2 linked regions of the Schizosaccharomyces pombe genome follow. Changing the gene in region 2 together with the main gene of any one other region gives a genetic interaction. Each region holds a gene or a part of one and is shown on either strand. Other genes may lie near its edges.

The links. Genes that interact genetically often act in the same process or in processes that back each other up.
Region 1: mutations in rtn1 (region 2) and cwf5 together harm fitness more than expected from each alone (negative genetic interaction), as found in Schizosaccharomyces pombe (one large-scale study listed by BioGRID).

The regions. Positions count from the first base shown.
Region 1 is NC_003421.2:1,185,831-1,189,534, forward strand, and holds cwf5 (Prp19 complex subunit, RNA-binding Cwf5), read right to left. Parts: upstream 1,793-3,704; 5' UTR 1,739-1,792; coding exon 1,463-1,738; intron 1,412-1,462; coding exon 1,055-1,411; intron 995-1,054; coding exon 563-994; downstream 1-562. Other genes in the region: coa4 (respiratory chain complex assembly protein), read right to left, coding at 58-141, 188-337; Ski complex RNA helicase Ski2, read right to left, coding at 1,905-3,704.
Region 2 is NC_003423.3:1,261,787-1,265,492, forward strand, and holds rtn1 (reticulon Rtn1), read right to left. Parts: upstream 1,819-3,706; coding exon 892-1,818; 3' UTR 512-891; downstream 1-511. Other genes in the region: protein dbl7, read right to left, coding at 1-54. UniProt on the Schizosaccharomyces pombe protein: Required for the correct positioning of the cellular division plane by delimiting the actomyosin ring assembly at the cell equator. Overexpression causes cell lysis.

The DNA of each region.
Region 1 (3,704 bases), on a different chromosome or scaffold from region 2:
AACTGCCGTAAACAGAATAATTATTTTTTTCACAAAATCACATGATATAGAAACTCATTAAGATAAATTTTTATTTTTTTTGTCTGAGATACTTGGCAAAGGACCATGTCTCTTTTCCCAACATTTCCTGAATTCTTCCATCTAAAAATATCAGAATTAGCTAAATTTTTTAAAGACATATAATTACCTGTTCTGTACATTTCCTCCAATCATGAGTATCCCAATAGCAATCATTCAGTCGAAGGTGCTCTTCTACACATCCACCTTTTTCAAGAGCAGTGTCCCATACATCTTTTTCCTCTTCTTCTCCGTCAGGAGTTTTTTCAATACTATCCATTCAGAAAAAATAAATTGATGCTTTATAATGTAAAAAATATGCAAAACCCAAAGTGTTTTGCTGAGTAAGGTAAAGCAGCAGATATTTGATTATTTAAGGAGAATGACCGAGAGACGACAGAAAAGGTGCAAAGACAAATAAACAAGAAAATACAGAATAAAGCTTGTCAGTATTAGAGAAAATAAGTTAATAGCTACTACAAAGGTTTTAAATGACCAACTGACTTCACCGCGGAATTTGAGATCGGTAACGGGGTTGATTGGGGTCAATGGGTATAGCAACTGCAGGGCTTTTAGTATTTTCATGATCTTCATTTTCAATGTTTTTAATCGTAGATTTTTGGGAGGTTTTATTTCCATGGGATGAACCTCGCATCACAAGGTCTGCCAACTTTGCGTTTCGTACTTCACCCTCAGGTCCTCCAAGAGAACGAGGTTTTCCCCATTGAACTTTCAGTCGAAACCCCTCTATAACAACATTTCCATCGGGAGATGCCGCCGCCGCAATCTCAGCACTAGAACGAGTTTTAAAGTTTACGAATGCGCATTTTGCTCGATGAGAACACACAACTGATTTAAGAGGCCCATATTGTTCAAAATGTTTACGAATTTTATAGTCAGCTAGTTCATCTTCGACGCCAATAAGGAAAAGGGATGCCTAAATGTTAGCACAATACAATGCGCCATCAAGCTTAAATTACTTTTAAGTCGCACTTACGATTTTTTTATCTTTAGGAGGTTCCATATTAATAGACAAGGAAACATTCCCATTAATAATTTTTTTAACCGGAAATAATGGGCGTTCTGCATTTAAAGATGCATCAGATGCTCGAGCCTCCTTTAATATTTGCTTAGACTCAACATCATCTAATTTTCGCTTAGGAGGTCTTGAATGTAATTCTCGTTTTTCTACCTTTTTAACAAGATTTCTTGCAGCGGCGCTTGCTTCCTGGCTATCGTAGGCCGTTTCGCCATTACTTAACAGGCGTTGTTGATTTTGAGCAAAGAATTCGCGATTAATATCGTTAGTGGGACCGCTTTCGACCAGTTTTAGGGCTGCATCCCTCAGGGCAATCTTCATGGAACGTTAGCTGACTATTATAGTTGAATGAAATATTGAACTTACCGGTAAACCAAATTGCAAATCAAGCATGCAACTCTGACAGCAGTTCTTATATCTGGCGCAACCAACACAAATTTGAGTTTTTCCAGGCTTTTGGCCGCGTTCTTTTATCCACCGAAAGATTGTACAAGGTTTTGAGCAAATTTTACATTCTTGTCCAAGTGGCTCCTTAGTCATACGAACATATGAATTGTCGCCCAAACAACGTTCACAGATGCTTGGAAATTCAACATCCTCCCATTCTTGTTTATTTATATCACCTTTTGGTCCATGAGACATATTAGAAACGCAATTCTCTTGCAATGCTAATCTTTGTAAATATGTGGTGGTGTTAAACTTTGCAAGGTGGAATACGAAGACTTTTAAGACAAATAAAATTCGTGAAAAACACATAAAATTTCATATGAATATCATTTAAATCTACAAATATATATAACTATTAAATTCACATATACAGTGAAGGGCAGAAGACTATGTTTCTGCGAATTAGATTTTGACACTCTTCCATCTTCGTATACATGGAAGAATCGCCGACGACACGGGCTGCTCCTCTGCATTCACGTAGAACTTCATCAAGTCTTATAATTGTTCTTACAATCGATCCTTCTAAAACGTCTGTTAAGTCTGTGATACGGTTGAAAGACATCCCTCTAGCCCACTCGTAGCAAACCTCCATTAAACCAAATCGTGGTTGTGATTCAAAATCATTACCTTCATTAAAATACAATACCTGATAGTGCTCTTGAATTTGATTAACTTTCTCGGCCACTGATAGTATCATTTCCTTTCCTTTTTGTAAATGAGGAGAAATTGTGGGTTCAACCTCCGTTTTCTCATCGAAAACAAATGCAGACAACAATGCTATTGTCTCTTCACAAGAAAAGTCCGCCAAACTGTTTTCCAAAATCAACTCTGTTAATACCAATTCACTGGTGGAATTAATTTCACATGCGACTCTTCCCTTTAGTAAAACAGTTCGCTCTGCGTCAATATATCCTAGTTCTTGCAATACTTTTATCCGTTGTTCGTAATCAGGCAGTAACTCTAGGTTTTGATCGGAAATATAGGAAGATAAGTTATCGATATTGCTTTCCAATTCATACTCTTGGTAAGCTAAGGCGAAATGAGTAAGAAAGTTTGGAGTCGAGATAATTGGATTTCCGGATAACTTGTTCTGAAGAAAATTTCGTTTTTCGAAAGCTTCACAAAATTCAAAGTCTCTGACTTTACTCCAATTAACTTCTTCAAAAAGCAGGTCGGAAAACTTTTTAATTGATGCAAATTGTTCACTAAGTTTTCGAAAAGCCCCCCCTCGACGGTCTCTAATTCCACCAGAATCAATTCGAAGGATCGTATTGCAGACTCTTTCAATACCGGAAAGATTGATAAGGCCATACTTGAATTGGTTTGATTCATCAAAGATAGCGTTATCATAAACATCATTGAACGCGTCAGCAAAAGCAAGTAAATCCGATGGTCGTTTGAGGTTGTTCTGTGGATTTAAATATGCAACTTCCAGTGTACAGTCTGAAGCATTGGTTCTAATGGATGTTCCGAGTAGAACTCCAACAGTGCGAGTAAAATCAAGTTGTTGAAAAACAATGACTCTTCCATCTTTAAATATTCTTTTGCCATTTGCAGTAGTTATTGCTCGGAAGTGCATTTTTTTGGTATACTCTTTAAAAGATTCACTGCTCAATAAACAACTTTTAATTTCTTTCAAATCAACATCAGACATTTCCTTCTTTAAAGCCGACAACTTTTCTTCAAAGCTTTTTATTTTTTCCTCGTGCTGAGGCACCAATGTTTGGTTAACGTTTTCACTAAAGCTGCGTTTAATCATGTCTTCAATTCTAAGCGTCTCTACACGTAGGAGGTTAAGTATCATATTATATGTTAAGCGAAATTGACTTATAAGCTTAGACGAAGGCCCCATAATCATGTGTCTCAACGAAGCTGTGTCAGGAAGTTCTGAACGCGATAATATAATAACTGTACCAGTGACATCAAGACCACGGCGTCCAGCGCGTCCAGAGCATTGTGTATACTCTCCGGGAAGAAGATCACGGAAGTTCCGTCCATCATGCTTTTGTGTACCGGAAAAAACCACCGATTTTGCAGGCATATTTACACCCATTGCAAAGGTCTCAGTAGCAAACAGAACCTTCACCAACCCTCTTTGAAAAAGGATTTCTACTATTTCCTTGATGATGGGTAACAGTCCGCCATGATGAACGGCTAAACC
Region 2 (3,706 bases):
TTCATTTTGAGATGCGCTTTTTCGAGGATTGTATTTGACTTTCTTGGAACTCATGTATAATAGCGTTGCGGCATGATAAATTGACAATAAATTGAATTTCAATAATCCTAATATATGGATACAAAGGAAATTTTGAGCTTAAACGTAAAAAGCTGGCACAACATTGATATAAGTGAATGACTTGTGGTGAGAGCAGACAACGATCATGCGAGTGTAATCAGCACTTTACTGTATGATCGGCTGTATTAAATACGAAGTAGTGGAAAAAAAATAATAATTTTTGGTTAACAAATACTTTAGTCATTTGGTTAAACAAAATAGATTTTTTCGTCCACAGACCCATTTTAGTTATGGAAAATATATATATATATTTTTTTTTTCGAAAAGAGCAGCAATAAGGAATACGAGGAGGACCTACAAAACAACACGGAGTAATTACGAGATTAAATTACGAATAATAAGTACGTTGGGTATTAAACGAAGCAGAGAAAATATAATAAAATAGCATCATATTGAGCAAAGCAACAAGAACTTCAACCACACTGCAATAGTTTGCAACTCAGAAGAGAAATGAGAGATTGAGCCGAACCTGTTACATTTACAATATATCGAGATGAGAAAGACGTATTTATGAAAATAAACACTCATAGTCATAAGCAAAATAATTGAGAAAACGCATTCAATCTCCTAATTCAAGTCATAATACAACACTTTTGAAACGCAACACAACACAGCAACACATTTTCAAAGTTGAAAACAAAACCATGGTTATTACCCTTGCATTTTTTTGCAAAAGATACTATTGAAACCTTAAAATAAACGAGGAAGCGAACCAAATAAAAATCAAGCGCAACCTGACAGAAACAATCAAACAAATTATCCCGCAGAGGTTTACTTGTTAACAGTGGTGTTTATAGTCTCAGTAGCTTGCTTTTTAAGTTTATCACCAGATCTCTCAAGGGAAGCAACCAAATGCTTGATAGAGCGCTCATTGCATACATACAATCTGGGAAGGATGAAGGCAAACAAAACATTCCAAACAAAGAGAGACTTGTAGGAAAGGAAGCCACTAAGGAAAAACTCAATAAAAGCAGCAACAGAGGCAGTAAAGGTCAAAATAGGGCTCTCAGCAAACAAGATACGTTGGAATTGAATCAACATAACGTTGAAAATGTCGACAATTGAGTTGACAATCCTATCAAGAGCCTTGGAGTCGCAGGTGATGTAGGAGGAACGGAAGTGAGACAAGACACCACGCTTACCGTTGGAAGCGAAAAGACCACCGAATTCAATGATGGAGGTAATCAAAAAGACATAACGGAAAGTTCTGAAAAAGAGGCGAGGAAGATTGATCCAAGAAGGGACATAAACGAGAGCAAGAATACTCATCAAGGTAGAGAAACTGCAAGAGGTGTTCTTCCAAGTCAACACAGACCACAAAGCATTAGAGATCTCAGGATCGACGTTTTGCTTAGTAGTGTTGGTAAAAGGGCAACCGGCCTCCAAAGCAGGGCATTTTTTGTCGGCACCTCCGTGAGCGCCGGAAACTGGGCAGACGGGACTGCTTGTCTCGCCAGGTGTGGATTGAGAGGTGTGGTGGGGCTCGGAAGAGGAAGAAGAGATGTTTTGAATAACGGGATTCTCAGAGTTGGGGAGAGCAGAGGGAAATGAAGTGGCAGAGGGCAATTCGGTGGAAGGGTGAACGGTGTGAGCAGTCAAAGTATTTACAAGGTCCTCAGCACCGGATTTAGCAGCGGCGACATCGGAAGCAGTGACGGAACCGGATTCAAAGGGGTTTAATGAATGTTGTTCAGACATGATTTGCGTGTTATATTCAATTTTAAAATAACAACTTAAGGTAAAACAGTTACTAAGAATCAAAAGAAGCCTTAAAAAAAAAGAGAAACCTTTTAAACTAAAAAAGGGTGCAAGTGTTTTTTTTTTAAGATATAGTAAAAAATAGAGAAAATTTAAAGAAAACTAATTCTGAAAAGTGCCGACTAAAGAAAATAGCTAGTAAAGGACGACTTTTCGGAAGAGCGAAATACTTTGTAACAAAGACTTAAAAAAGTGAATAAAAGATTTTTGGATTTTGCTGTAGGATAAATAAAATGTATATGTATTAAATCCAAAGCCAAGTTCCAAAAGGGTTAACTTTTAAGGGAGATATTGATCGAAAGAAAAAATAAAAGTAGAATGGGTAAATACAAAAAGAGACCTTCACGAGTTGTTGAGAGGAAAGTCAATATGTTTCACTTACGAAACTGTTAGAAAGTTGTTAGTTGGAAAGCTTTGCTTTTATATGGTAAAAGTCAAGTCGGTGGTTGGTGGTTAGATAGCAGTCATAGCGTTGATCATGGAATGACGTTGTTCTTGGCTCAATAAGTCTGTGTCAGCGGCGACTATAGCGATCATGCTTATAATCGGTTTACAGCAGGCTAATGAAAGAGAATTTTGGATGGTAAAAGAAAAACGAAGAATAGGAAGAAGATGGGCGGGAAAAGATGGGTTAAATGGTATGAAAAGATGGGTGAAATGGTATGAAAAAGAAGGAAATGAATAGAGAAACAATGAAAATGGATGAAAAACGAAAGAACGAGCGAAAACGGATGACTTTTGCAAAAGCTAGAGATATTGAAAAAAGAGTAAATAAAGGGAAAACAATGATTAAGTGCAGGAAAGGCTACAAGAGGCGAAAAAAAAGTGAGAAATAGATAAATAAATTCGTGTAGGATAGTTTGTTGAAAGGAGAGCGAAGTATGGAGTTTGATTGTAAAATGTAAAGGAGAAAGGGATAAGAGTGATGAAAAGGAAAAGGATACAACTGAATAAAGAAAGGATTAAAGATTGAAAAAGGAAAGGAATAGTAACGGTGAGAAATGATGAATCATCCACAAGTGAGTAAAACACGAAGAAATTTGTTGTTTAAAAAATTATTTAATATTTGAGGAATTGAAATCAATTAAAACTTTGAAGAAACAAAATTCATTCAAACTTCTGAAGCCTTTTTTTTTTTTTTTTTTTTTTTTGGAAATTTTTTTGACAAAAAATTTATTTCTTAAGAATCAAAGCAAATGTATTTCAAAAAAAAATATATATATATATATGATGAAATAAATAAGACCATACCTTTTCTACATTTAGTAATTGATTTATTTCAGTTTACGTTAATTAATTTAATGTAATTTTATTTCGAATTTTTTATTTTTTTTATTTTTTCACGAATTGAATTGAATTGAATAGATTTTCTTTTTATAATTTAATTTTTTTTGTACAAATCAGTTTGTATTGAAATTCTTCATCATCTCATTATGCGTTGTGTGTCTGTTTATTTACACCCACTTAAAAATTGCAAGCATACCGTATGATGAACAAGAAGGCTTTTCTTGCCTTTTCGTGAAAAGGGAGGGAGAAAGAGAAAACGTATTTAATAAATTGGACATCTCATCGTATGCTAGTATATGAAATTATGAATTGAAATGAAATGTATGGAATTGCATTGCGCTGGACTGAATTGCATAGAAGTGGACTGCATTGCATAGAAGTGAATTACATTGTACTGAAAGAATTGTGTTGTATCGTATTCAAAGTAATGATGTATCATCCTTTCCTCTTTCCTCTCTACTCTACTCTACTGAAACGGTCGGGTTCTTCTCTCCTTTAGCAAATCCTTTACTGCACTCTGCTGTACGGTCTTGTTCCACAG